Macaca mulatta: one gene and its partner. The protein of the gene in region 1 interacts with the protein of each later gene in a pairwise test. Links are inferred from orthologs where the notes say so. Each region holds a gene or a part of one and is shown on either strand. Other genes may lie near its edges.

Region 1 (6,883 bases):
CCTAAAAACTTTAGAATTTCTACATAATACAGTTGACACTACTATTCTCAATAGAGCTGCTTTCAGTCTCAAAGGGCTGTGGTATGTGTGCGTGTGTGTGGTAAAAAAGGGAAGCAGCAGGTCAAGGAAGAGAAGTGTATTTCACAAGACTTAAGTAATCTTGTCATTGCTGCTTTTCCTGCCAGAAAATCATTACCATTCCCTTTAAAAATCATTTCCATATACATTGCAATAATCGCTCCTATGTCAATTCCACCCTTCCTTCTCTAATAATAGCTACTATTTATTCAGCACCAACTAGTATACTAGGGACTATGCTGGGTGCTGGAGTCCCAATGACGAATGAGACAAACACTTAAATAAAAGGATGTCCATAATACAGGCATGTACAAAGCTTCACCTCAACTGAGGAGGCAGGACCAACCTTCACAGAGAAGCCCAGTCTTCAAGGATGAGTGTTCTAGTTCCAGAAGAGCAGAAGCAGAGTGGGTAACATGTTAAAGGTATGGAGGCCTGAAAGAATTGCCTTTTTTCAAGGAATGCTAACTATGTAATAAGGTATAGGGAGAACGTGGTATTTTAACTGGAACATATGGAAAAGATTATTACTAGGGAAAAAAGAATGAAGGCCTTTACTAAGAAAGCAGCAGGAATGAAGAAGGGACAGATGCAAGAGGAGACAAGCTCAAAAGGACTTGATGATTAAGTATGAGTGTGACGGAGAAAAAGAATACAATACTTTGAGGTCCTAGTAAGCTTCTTGGGTGGCGTGGTAAATGATAATGCCATTATGGAAGGTAAAGAAGAGAGGGAGCCAGTTTACCAGGGCATTCAGGTAGCATGAAAGAAAACCGAACCTGTGGGCTCTGATAAGATCATCCAGGGGGAATAATAGCACCAACTGAGGGGAGAGGTTGAGACTCATGGGAAATAAATCTCAGGGAGGAATCTTGTCTACCACAGAAAACCCAGACGAATATCCAAACAGGGAAGTATAGGAGGTTATAAATAGGTCAAGCAGTGTGAGGACAGATAAAAAGACACTAGACTTGACAAGACGGGCAGTCTCCGCTTATCTTTCCCAGAATATCCTAAGAAAATTGTAGGAGCTAAAGATAGAGATCACTGGGCTAAGGAATAACTGGGAAGGGAGAAAACGGAGGCTGGAGGCATTTCAGAAGTCAGGATGCAAAGGCATCCAGGTGGTAGGAAAGGTTTTATTTGGTCTTTCCTTTTAGGCTAATGAAGACATTTACCATGTTTATACAAAGAAAGGAAGCACTAATTGGTGATGTAAGGATTTTAAACACAGCCTGGGAGAGAAAGGAGGAGGGATCCAGTGCACAAGTAGAGTTCAGAAAAGTGCCTTAGAAACTAAAAGGGTGTTAAAAGAGCAGGGGAAAGGATAAATACATGTAGAGATAGAGGAGAAATGTTGCCAAATTCATTTTAAATTAAAGTCTATGATCAAAAAATAGCACCTGAAAAATGAAAAATCCATTGGGAATATTCTAAACACAGTGTAGCAGAACCTTAATTCTGCTTATACTTACTTATACTAAGTAGCCAAAGCTTATTTAGTTTAAAAAAAATCCATATAGCTATTCTAACAGTCAGTGTTTAAACTGATTGGTGCTAATTAATCTAAAACTATGAGATTCTGTGTTAAAAAAAAAAAACAAAAAACACCTCACCACCTATCCATCACCATCTAGAGCCATCCTGGGTTCATATTTTGAACAGAAAAGAAATTGTGCCTTCAGGTTTTTCTTTCTCCCTGGTAAGTTCTATTTATGTGCTTATGATTTTAAAAATTTATTTTAATTTATATTTTTAAATAAAAAATAAAAAAAAATTTCTACCTTTTTTACTGAAGTCTATGATTCTTGTGAGATTTCACAACTGCTGCTCATGAAAAATTTATAATACAGAAATATTTCTTTTTGAAATAATAATTTCTGAGGAATATTACTGGTACTTAGGTTCTTTAATTCTTTTTGTTTTTCCTTCCTGAACCATCCTGACCCCAAGCCTTATCTTGCTCTCTTCCCTATTTCCCAGTATCATTTAACTGAGAATTTTTGTTTTTATGGCATTCATACATTCCTCAATTTGACCAAAACAACTAATTCATGTAAAGTTATGGTTTGGTTAGACATCGTGTAAGTAAAATGACAGACTGCTTCTTGCTAGGAAGATATTCAACATTTAGGGCAGGTTCTAGTTGTAGTAACAAACTAGGTCTTGAATAAGTTAATTACTTAGCATAATGATAATTCCATCACAATTAAGATTACTGCCCAACTTTAATCTGTAATAAAATATAATGATCTAATTAACCCTTACAATGTCTTTGAGAAATAAAAGGGCAAAATAAATAATTACATATCAAATGAAAACTCCTAAAATATAACTATGTTTTGAAGCACAAGTAAAAGGTTTCTAAATGCCAGAATTACCAAAAGTTAGGAAATAGAAAGGGCAAATAAAGTGTCATGTTACAGCTACAACAACTCAAATAAAGCATGCAGAAACAACTAGGAAACACTGAGAATTTTAAATCTGATGAAGGAGCCAGCAGAGATTACCCAGCATTCAGCTCACCATTTGAGACCAGCCAAATGAATATGTGACAAGTCTCTTTTAAAAATCTTGCACTTTGAAAAGGAAATGTGTTATAAGTGTTACTCAATCTGGAAGTTATGGTGAGCTTGACAATGTCAAAACATGGATTTAGAGATTCTCAATGAACAGATATTTTACCTTCAATAAAATCTCCTTTCATAAAAGGAAAAAAAAGATTACCCAAATTCTACCATCATTTTGCCACTGGGATTATTTTCCTTTTGAACAATTTGGATGACCATTATTATTCCTGGACTTGAATGTACATGATTCTTATAAACCCAATGTCACACTAAGTAAAACTGCAAAAATCATATACATCTTATAATTAAAGTTACTATTTCTTTCAAAAACTAAAGTTCTATTAGTATTACTTTTAATGTTCAATAAATATTTTCTGAGTGTTTAATATAAGGTAGCCATTTTTCTACAAATTGGAGATTCAACAATAAAGCACAAAAATTTCTGTCCTTAGAAAGTTAATATTTCAGTATGGGAAAACAAACAGTAAATGAATAAATGCTTAGTAAAGTCAGATCATGGTGAGTGCTATGGACATACATAAAGCAGGGGGGACAGCAAATGCTGATGTATATATTCAAGGAAGACCTGCTCAGGTAACAGTGGAGTGACACCTGAAGGATGTAAAAGAGTGAACTATGCATTTTTCTGGGAGAAGAACATTCAAGGCAGAGGGAATACAAAGAGTCCAAGGCATGTGCATACTTGATGCTTTGAGGAGCACTGAGGCCAAGGTGCCTGGAGCTGCATGACGAGGTGGGACATGGTAGTACCTGAAGTAGGACAGGGAGTCTAGGCCTGCAACTTTTAAGAACTTTGACTGCTCTGAGTGGATGGTTTTGAGCAGATGAATGGTAGGAGTTGACTTGTTTTAAAAATAATCATTCTGGCTACTTTATGGGGAACAGACTGTAGGGATGCAAGGATATAAGGAGAATTTTTGTAGATGATAGCTTCAATCCAGGGAAGAGATGATGGTGGCTTGGAATAGGGCGTTAATAGTAGAGATCAAAAGAAGTGGTCAGCTTTAGATATATTATGAAGGTAGGGTCTACTAGATTTGCTAATGGATTGGATATGGGATCTAAAAGAAGAATCAAGGATGACGTCAGGGTTTTTGGCCTGAGCAACTAGAAGTATGGCATTGCCATTTACTGAGTTGGGGAAGACTGAAGGAGAAGCAAGTTTGGGAGGGAAGACCAAGAATTCAGTTTCAGATACGCTGAGTGTGAGCTTTAATTAGATTTCTAGATAGAGATGTCAAATAGGCAGTTTTATGAGATCACGGGGAGTTAGAACATCTAAGAAAGGAGAGTGGTCCAAGGAAACTTCTTCCCCTTAAAAAATATGAGTGTAAAGCTAAAATCATAAGCAACTTTTAAGGCATAGACTGAAATAGTATAAAATGTAGAAAACCTCCCATACCTTGAAAGCTCACCTCAACTGCCTTCTGCCCAACTTAACATTTTAAAGATATTTTGATACACATACAAATCTAAGAAGCCCCAAGAAGCCTAAGAAAACCCCTTAGGGGTTACCTTGGCCCATGGGCCTCAAAAATAAGAAATTAAGTTTTTCAATGGCATAGCCATTACAAGTTTTATCTTAAATTTGCTTGAAATTTAAGAATACATTAAAACATTATAAAAAGAAATATAAAAAAGCATTTTTTTTTTTTTTGAGACAGAGTCTCACTCTGTCACCCACGCTAGAGTGCGGTGGTGTGATCTCAGCTCACTGCAACCTCCGCTTCCTGGGTTCAAGCAATTATTGTGCCTCAGGCTCCCAAGTAGCTGACAGTACAGGTGCGTACCACCATGCTCAGCTAATTTTTGTATTTTTAGTAGAGACGGGGTTTCACCATGTTGGCCAGGCTGGTCTCGAATTCCTGGTCTCAAGTGATCCACCCGCCTCGGCCTCCCAGAGTGCTAGGATTACAGGCGTGAGGTCCTGCACCTGGCCTCTGAGTTGTCCTTTTATGACAGCTTCCAATTTTGTATTCACTATGTCCAAAGTTGTATGCTTCTTCCCTGAAAAAAGTTTTTTATATTCTCAAATACAGTATTATTCTTCTCAGTCAGTATTATATATACAGTATAAATACAGTATTATATTCCCAGTTAGACAAATACAAAACGCTGCATCTATACAGGTGGTATCAAGATTTAAAAGGATTTAAATCTTGCAAGTTATACTTGAAAAAATTCATATGGAAAAGAGTCACTCAATTGCTCATTTTGCATACTGCCAATACCTGAATACTGACTATCTTGAACAAAACTATGACTGTTTGGATTAGTACTGTTTGATGGGCCCGACTCATTTATCATGCTGTTATCTGCACAACTGAAGTCAGATCCCTCAAATGCATCTGATTGTGAAACAAAAACAGTAGTATTGGAATTGGCACCTGCCGACATACTGGAAGAGGACATCTGATGGAGCTGTCTCAAGTCTCTTGGGTCTAACACTGAATTACATGAGGGGTTTTCAAGATTCATGCTCAGAAGTCTTGGATTATCCGTCTCTTCCATGCTATCATTGCTGGTTGCCATCATATTCACAGAACAATTAGACAGCATGTTGTGATCAGAAATACCATATAAGTCTGCTGGTGGCATGGATGACGCTTCCATTCCAACTATGTCATCGGCATTGTTATAAATGCAAGCGTTAGAAGCATTTAAATCATTCCCAATAGGTATTCTCAGGAATGGTGGGATACCTTGCGAATTAGAAGGAAGTGTCCCTGTTGAAAAACTACTCAGTGGGTTTGTATTGCCTGAGCGTGGGGTGGGGTGGGCCACTGATGACCAGCTTGAAGAAGGAAGAGGTGTCATTGAGGCATGATGTGACAATCCACTTGAGATGGGCCCAGGTGAGGGATAGTAGGATTCTGCTTGACTTGAAACCCCTGTAGGCATTTCTCTCACAACTGCATCATGAGAAAACAAGTTTGGTTCTGTGGGAGGAAAAATTTGTTTTACAAAATTAAAAGGAACAAAATTATAAAAAGTATTTCTAAATTAAAATTGCATAAGCACACAAATATATATAAAGAAAAATGTCAGGGAAACCAATGTAACATTTCAAATAAAAAAGTGTTAAAAGCACTAAAATTATTACACGAATCCAAAATGAAATTCTGTAACATACATACCATTTTACAAATACAGGTAAAATGATTTTTGCAAGTTACTTTGGCATATGTAATGTCACTCCAGTTAAATATGAAAATCTAGTTTCTGAGGCTCTATAAAGGTATTTTTGAAAACTAAAAGATAAATATTAGAATTACAATTAATGGGACTCCAAATAGCCAAAATCATCTCTTAGGAGAAAATGGAAGGATGGAGAAAACACTCATTAGGGATAAGAAAATACATACAACTTTTAAGATATATTACGACAGAACCCTAAGAGACTATAAAATTCACAGTCAGAAAAAATTACAGAAAAAATTAATTCTGTATTTATTTACATATTATACAAATGCTTTATGAACTAAACCAGGAAAAAGCACTGATTTAAGAATGTACATGGGGGAAAAAGACTTCTAATTAGCCCTTGGTTGAATTATCTAAACTAGGAATTGGTAATTTTTTTTTTCTGTAAAAAGTCAGATTGTAAATATTTTAGGCTTTGTGAGCTATATACAGCCTCTGTTCGAACTATTCAACCCTGTTACCATAGTGTTATAAAAAAAAAAGCAGTTTAGAGATAATATTTAATCAAATATTCATAGCCATGTTCCAGTAAAATTTTATTTATAAAAATAGGTAACTAACCAAATCAATAACATTTTTTTCCATGACGCAATGTAACTAATAAAATCACTACCATATGAATGACATGTAATTTCTTGAACAATAAATTCCAAAAACACGATTGGTTTCTAACACAACCTTCAGAAGTCATGCTTAATTTATTCTATACTGAAAGCATGAAAAATTTGGAGAGAAAATTTTCAAAGAAGCAGTTATTCATTCCTAAAAACAGAATTCCAATATATTGTGCACAGCACTGGTCTTTCTGATCACAAGAAATATGCTATAGGAAATAAAATACCTTTTTTGAAGTATCTTCCTTCTCCAATTGAACCGAGGAGACCAGGTCTTGGTCTCTCAGGAAAATTAACTGTTAGGATAAAGTTTTTCCATTATTAAATGGCATCTGAAAAATAACATTATCAGTTAAAATCTGAAAAACTGGCAGGGAGTGGTGGCTCCCACCTGCA
Region 2 (7,420 bases), on another chromosome or scaffold:
TTGAACCCAGGAGTCTGAGGCCAGCCTGGGCAATACAGAGAGACCCTGCCTCTACAAAAAAATCAAAAACTTAGCAGGGTATGGGGGCACGTGCCTATAGTCCCAGCTACTTGCAAGGCTGAGGCAGGAGGATCACTTGAGCCCAGGAGTTTGAGACTGCAGTGAGCTATGTTCATGTTACTGTACTCCAGCCTGGGTGACACAGTGAGACCCTGTCTCAGGGAAAAAAAAAAAAAAAAAAGGAAAGCAAACTGCAGTCACAGGAACGGAGATAGCGCAACCCAACTCTGCTTCTTTCCCTCCAGGGACGATCACTTGATGGCCATTCCCAGCAGGAGTGACTGGTGGGCACTTACTCCAGTGGTTTTTCCTGAGAAGCTGACAGTCCCTATAAGTAAGCAGGTGCAGACAGCCATACAGACACTCTATCAAAAGCCTGACTCTCCACACCATGATTTAGAGACAGATGCTGAGCCCAACCTCAAGGTTTACCTGGATGGAGTCATCATTTTTTTTTTTTTTTCCGCCAGACTCCAGAGATCTGAAAGGTGAGGGAAGTTACGTTCCACTAATTCCTGAGTACTCAGAGTGTGGTATATGCACCAATCACTGAGAGCTAGTTAGAAATGATGAATCTAGGCTGGGCATGGTGACTCATGCCTGTAATCCCAGCACTCTGGAAGGCCGAGGCAGGCAGATCACTTGAGGTCAGGAGTTTGAGACCAGCCTGGCCAACACGGTGAAATCCCCGTCTCTGCCAAAAAATACAAAAATTAGCTGGGCATGAGTGGCGTGTGCCTGTTGTCCCAGCTATTGGGGAGGCTGAGGTGGGAGGATCGCTTGACCCCGGGAGGTGGAGGTTGCTGTGAGCTGAGATCATGCCATTGCACTCCAGCCTAGGTGACAGAGTGAGACCCTTCTCAAAAAAAAAAAAAAAAAAGAAAGAAAGAAAAAAGAAAGAAATGCTGAATCTAGTCCCCACCCCCACCTACAGAATCAGAATATGCACTTAAATGAAGCCCCCAGTTATCCTCAAGCACCTGGAAGGTTGAGACGCAGTATTCTGCTCTGGAGCAAAAGGGTCCTGCGATGTGACCATTTCAGCTTCTCTGCCCTAGCAGAGGTGGGCTGAGGTGGGCTTTGGAGGAAGAGTTCACACCTTGGCTAATCGAGGCCGACCAGGCTTGCTTGACTTTAGTGGAAGTAAGCCGGGTTTCCCTGGCTTAGGGACTGTGAGCTGTACCTGGATGACCCAAAGAGTGAGCTGGCTTTAGGCTCCTGGCACTGCTAGCTTCTTCCAGTGATCTCAGAAACATGCTATGCCCTGATGCAGAAGCCCCTTCCCCACTCCCCCTACTGTTAAAGACCTTCGGCCGGGCGCGGTGGCTCAAGCCTGTAATCCCAGCACTTTGGGAGGCCGAGACGGGCGGATCACGAGGTCAGGAGATCGAGACCATCCTGGGTAACACAGTGAAACCCCGTCTCTACTAAAAATACAAAAACTTAGCCGGGCGAGGTGGCAGGCGCCTGTAGTCCCAGCTACTCGGGAGGCTGAGGCAGGAGAATGGCGTGAACCCGGGAGGCGGAGCTTGCAGTGAGCTGAGATCCGGCCACTGCACTCCAGCCTGGGTGACAGAGCGAGACTCCGTCTCAAAAAAAAAAAAAAAAAAAAAAAAAAAAGACCTTCAAAAGGAGGGGGATTTGCTGTGGTCTGTCAGCCCCCTGCCTACTCCCCACTTCCCAACCCAAAGTGAAAAGTGGATTCAAAGTTCATATATTTTATGTTTATTATTTATTTTAGAGACAGGGTCTCGCTCTGTCACCCAGGCTGGAATGCAGTGGTCAATCATAGCTCACTACAGCCTCCAACTCCTGGGCTCAAGCGACCCTCTGGCCGCAGCCTCTGTAATAGCTAGGACATCTTTTTTTTTTTTTTTTTTTTTTTTTTTTTTTTTTGTAGAGATGGAGTCTCACTATGTTGCCCAGGCTGGTCTTGAACTCCTGGCCTCAAGCAATTCTCCTGCCTCGACTCCCCAAAATGCTGAGATTACAGGTGTGAACCTTGGTACCCGTGCCAGAAGTGCCTATAAACAGTATCTGTGGCTTCCAATTTGACCCAACAATCCAGCAATAAAAGGCGCAAAAAAGGGCTACCTGTGCCTTCAGGCCAGCCTCAGGGCCCACCCTGAACAAATCCAGCAGACACTTACACCCTCAGTTGAAAGAAGTCCAAAATTGTCAGGAATTGTCCTGGTAGACCATTGTGACAGGGACAAAGGAGAACAGCATGAACTACAAAAGACCCAGCAAGGGAAAGAGGATGAGTCGGGAGTGGCAATAAGAGCCCCTGCGAGCTTTTCCTTGGCTCATTTCTAATAGAAAATGAAGCATTCCTCCCTTCTCTGCCTGGTTGCTATTTCTTGTCCAATCTGGGAAAACGGTGTGACAATGGGCAATAGACACGTGTTCAAGCTCTGGGGCCTCAATGCCCGGCTCTGTAGAATAAGGCGGCAGGGCTGGACAAGATCCCTAACCGTTCTAACAGTGTATGTTTTGGATCAAATAGCTGAGGACCTCGGATCCGGCCGTGCATGCTGCTGGTAGGACAGCTGCCTGAGAAAATAAGCATGTGGCCCCTGCCCGCCACCGAGTGAAGCGCCAGGATCTGTCGCGTTTTCGAGTAGTTTGGAAAGCAGCGTGGAGGAGATTGAAGGGAGAGAAGTCAAAGGGGTGGGGGCAGTACGAGGATGGGAGGGGAGTGGAGAGCCACGAGGATTTGTTTCATCATGCAAACAGGCGCGTAGGTTTCATCAGCGTCTGTGCGCTGGGGTTGCGGGGCTGGGAGGGAATGCCAGGCTCCTGAGGGCAGCCTGAGGCTGCCCCCCCACCCCCGCACCCGTGCCAGCTCAGCTTCCTCTTCCTCATCCTCTCCCAGGGAGGTCACACGGTGCCTCCTCCTCTCCCCGGACAGAAGAACGTGTTTTTCTGCACAGCCCTGCCCGTGGCGCCAGGCCCCCCCGCGGAGATCCCACTCGCGAAAATGGGGAACGTGCCACAGGTGCCCGGGAGGCTCTGCTGGAGCAGGAGAGCACCCCCACATCCAAACCTCCGTCAGAGCGCGCGTGTCCAACGCAAAACTAGGGGTGCTTCGGAAAGGAAAAAGGGCCCTGCAGGAATCATTTATCCCAACAGATAATACCCATCCCATAAAAACACCAGGCCAGGCCTCTCCTGGATCGTGGGCCACCCTGACTCCGCCCTATCCTGCCTCGGGAGCGCCCCCAACACCCACAAGGGGCAGCACAGCTCGGCATGTGGCAGTCCTGGAAGAGTGCGTGTTTGTTAGGTGTCAGCTGTCTGACACCTAACAGAAAGAGGAAACGAACGGGGCAGTTTGCAACCTGGGTCTGGACGACGCACTCAAGAGGGCAGACGGGCGGCCACTTCCATGACCCTCGATATCTCCCCGATGCCCCTTCTCCGTTCTTTCCAGTCACAGCGCCCTTGAGCCTGGACACCCGGTCCAATCCGCGATTCCCGATCCTCCCGCCCGCCCAGGAGCCGGCCAGCTGCGTCCCCAAGCCCGCGCCTACCTCCCGGGGTGGTGCTGAAGAGTGTGCCGCCGGGGGTCGTGCTGTAGTCCCCGGGCGGGAGCTGCACGCCGTCGCCGAGCACCACCCGGCGAGTGGCGGGGATGGCCCGACTTGGGGTCTGGCTGCAGCTGCTGCCCCCGGACATGGTCTCCTGTGCGCTGCACCAGCGAACCTCTCGCTGCCCTCCCGCGCCTCCAGCCTCGCTCCGCCTAGCCGGGTCCCGCTCAGCCTCGCCCCGTCCCGCCCCGCCCCAGGACGCCCCTTCCGCCTCTCCCGCCCACGCCCCTGGGATTTGTAGTCCGCGCCGCAGCCCCACCCAGCTCCAGGACGTTGCTTCCACGTGGGATCCCCCGCAGCCCCCCGACCCACTCACGCCTGCTCACGGGCTCTTCCGCACGGGCGCCGGCGCCGCCCCGCAGCGACTGCCCCTCTGTCCTGTGTCCCTCCCCGCCACGTTGGCAGGGATGGGGGTGGGGGTGGTGGGCGGGATAGCTCGCCTAAATTAATCCTTGGCTGGGTTGGGGGCGGCGACTCAGGACCGCGCGGAGATCCGAGCTGACCCGGCCCACTGCAGGAAGGCCCGGTTTCTGCCTTAGTACATCAGGCCCGGTGTACCCTCCGGCACTCCCTGTTTCGTGCCTTAGTTCCTCAGATGAGAAAGTGGGGATTGAGTGGTCATGCTCACCCCCTCCCCCGCCTCAATTTCTTGACCTTGATGGGGGTGGGGATGGTGGGGCTAACAATTCTGTTCCCGGCCTTTAGACAGGGTGTGGGAGGAGGAGTGAACCAACCAGCGGCGTCCTGGGAGTTAAATTTAGAGCTAGGGGCGCGGGGGTAGGGGGAGAGGGAAGGGCGTAGGAGAGGGGTAAGAGTTTGTCAAAGAGGTTTCCCGATAACTCCTGAATTGGGTCCAACGCCCACCCCACTGCCTGAGATTTAGTAGGTACTCCTTGGATGGATGGATGGAGGGATGTTCAAGGGGAGAGAGAAAAATGCAAGAAGGACCGAGGATGGAAAAGCTTGTTGGGTTTGAGAAGTTCTTAGCATTGTGGGCACATGTTGTGGGGAAGAGGGTGAAGAAAGTTTAAAAGGGAAATTGGGTGGTGCACCTGTAATCCCCACTACTCAGGAAGCTGAGCTGGAGGATGCTTGAGCTCAGGAGTTTGAGGCTCCAGTGAGTGTGATCACACCACTGCACTCCACCCTTAGTGAGAGACCCTATCTCTAAAAAATATATAATAATTTTTTAAAAAGGAAATTGGGGTCAGGTCATTGAGTTTTTCAAATCATGCCAAAGTGCTTGGACTTTGTCTTAGAAGGGCAGGAGAGATCAGAGATTTTTTTTTTTTTTTTTTTTTTTTTTAAGGCTGGAGTGCAGTGGCGCGATCTTGGCTCACTGCAAGCTCTGCCTCCCGGGTTCACGCCATTCTCCTGCCTCAGCCTCCCGAGTAGCTGGGACTACAGGCGCCCGCCACTGCGCCCAGCTAATTTTTTGTATTTTTAGTAGAGATGGGATTTCACCGTGTTAGCCAGGATGGTGTTGGTGTCGATCTCCTAACCTCGTGATCCACCCGCCTCGGCCTCCCAAAGTGCTGGGATTACAGGCGTGAGTCACCGCGTCCAGCCCAGAGATCTTTTAAGCAGGGGGATGACATGATTTGAGTTGTTTTTTTTGAAAGATAACTAGTAGCCAGTGGAGTTTCAGGATGGGCCAAGGAGGGCAAGGCCTGAGATAGGGAGACCTGTTGAATTTGGTCTCACTTTTGAGGGAAACTTTAGGCCTACAGTGGCTTAAGACAGTAGCCGCCAGCTACAGGTGCACATTGAGCACTCCAAATGTGGCCAGTCCAAACTGTCACAAGTTTAACATACACACCATATTTCAAAGACTTAGCATGAAAAAAATAATGTAAAATGCCTGAATAATTTGTTTCTATATTGATTGTATGTTGAACTGATAATATTTTGAGTATATTGGGTTCAGAAAATTACATTAAAAAATTAATTTTGGGCCAGGTGCAGTGGCTTACGCCTGTAATCCCAACACTTTGGGAGGCCGAGGTGGGCAGATCACGAGGTCAAGAGATCGAGACCATCCTGGACAACATGGTGAAACCCTGTGTCTACTAAAAATACAAAAAAAATTAGCTGGGCATGGTGGTGCGTGCCTGTAGTTCCAGCTTACTCGGGAGGCTGAGGCAGGAGAATCGCTTGAACCTGGGAGGTGGAGGTTGCAGTGAGCCGAGATCACACCACTGCACTGCAGCCTGGTATCAGAGCAAGACCCCGTCTCAAAAGAAAAAAAAAAATTAGGCCGGGCGCGGTGGCTCAAGCCTGTAATCCCAGCACTTTGGGAGGCCGAGACGGGCGGATCACGAGGTCAGGAGTTCGAGACCATCCTGGCTAACACGGTGAAACCCCGTCTCTACTAAAAAATACAAAAAACTAGCCGGGCGAGGTGGCGGGCGCCTGTAGTCCCGGCTACTCGGCAGGCTGAGGCAGGAGAATGGCGTAAAAACCCGGGAGGCAGAGATTGCAGTGAGCTGAGATCCAGCCACTGCACTCCAGCCTGGGCGACACAGCGAGACTCCGTCTCAAAAAAAAAAAAAAAGAAAAAAAAAATTAATTTCGGCCAGGTGCGGTGGCTCACGCCTGTAATCCCAGCACTTTGGGAGGCCTAGGCGGGTGGATCATGAGGTCAGGAGTTCAAGACCAGCTTGCCAAGATGGTGAAACCCTGTCTCTACTAAAAATACAAACAACAACAACAAAAAGCCGGCCATAATGGCCGGCACCTGTAATCCCAGCTACTCAGGAGGCTGAGGCAGAGGTTGTAGTGAGCCGAGAACCACCACTGCACTCCTGCCTGGGCGACAGAGTAAGACGCTGTCTCAAAAAAAAAAAAAAAAAAAAGAAGGCCGGGCATGGTGGCTCACGCCTGTAATCCCAGCACTTTGGGAGGCCGAGGCGGGTGGATCACGAGGTCAGGAGATCGAGACCATCCTGGCTAACACGGTGAAACCCTGTCTCTACTAAAAATACAAAAAATTAGCCGGACGTGGTGGTGGGCGCCTGTAGTCCCAGCTACTCGGGAGGCTGAGGCAGGAGAATGGCGTGAACCCGGGAGGTGGAGCTTGCAGCGAGCCGAGATGGCGCCACTGCACTCCAGCCTGGGTGACAGAGCAAGACTCCGTCTCAAAAAAAAAAAAAAAAAGAAAAAGAAATTAATTTCGTCCAGGCTGTGGATCACACCTGTAATCCCAGTACATTTGGAGGCTGAAGTGATCAGAGTGCTTGGGCGCAGGAGTTTGAGACCAGCCTGGGCTACATGGTGAAACCTTGTCTCTACAAAAAAATTTAAAAATTAGCCCAGTGTTGTGGCTCACACCTGTGGTCCCAGCTGCTTTCAAGGATGAGGTAGGAAGATGACCTGAGCCCCAGAGGTGGAGGTTGCCATGAGCCAAGATTGCACCACTGCACTCCAGCCGGGGCTCAAAAACAAAATAAATAAAATAAGAAAAAATAAAAATAGATCAGGTCTTGGTGGTTGGGATTACAAGGCCAGAGGATTGCTTGAGGCCTGAAGTTCAGAGACCAGCCTGGGCAACATAGCAAGACCTTGTTTCAAAAAAGAGAGAGTTTCGGGTCAGGTGTGGTGGCTCACACCTGTAATCCCAACACTGAGAGGCTGAGGCGGTCAGATCACAAGGTCAGGAGACCGAGACCATCCTAGCTAACACGGTGAAACCCCGTCTCTACTAAAAATACAAAAAAAAAAAAAAAAAAAAAAAATTACCCGGGCATGGTGGCAGACTCCTGTAGTCCCAG

The links. The genes of interacting proteins can lie anywhere in the genome.
Region 2: the proteins of REL (region 1) and EIF4EBP1 interact in binary tests that used the Homo sapiens proteins (3 or more experiments, as listed by UniProt). The two-hybrid records come from large-scale screens. The link is inferred for Macaca mulatta from reciprocal best matches to the Homo sapiens genes REL and EIF4EBP1.

The regions. Positions count from the first base shown.
Region 1 is NC_133418.1:63,857,029-63,863,911, forward strand, and holds part of REL (proto-oncogene c-Rel), read right to left. Parts: intron 6,784-6,883; coding exon 6,715-6,783; intron 5,609-6,714; coding exon 4,836-5,608; 3' UTR 1-4,835. UniProt on the Homo sapiens protein: Proto-oncogene that may play a role in differentiation and lymphopoiesis.
Region 2 is NC_133413.1:39,969,737-39,977,156, reverse strand, and holds the start of EIF4EBP1 (eukaryotic translation initiation factor 4E-binding protein 1), read right to left. Parts: upstream 3,869-7,420; 5' UTR 3,739-3,868; coding exon 3,594-3,738; intron 1-3,593. UniProt on the Homo sapiens protein: Repressor of translation initiation that regulates EIF4E activity by preventing its assembly into the eIF4F complex: hypophosphorylated form competes with EIF4G1/EIF4G3 and strongly binds to EIF4E, leading to repress translation.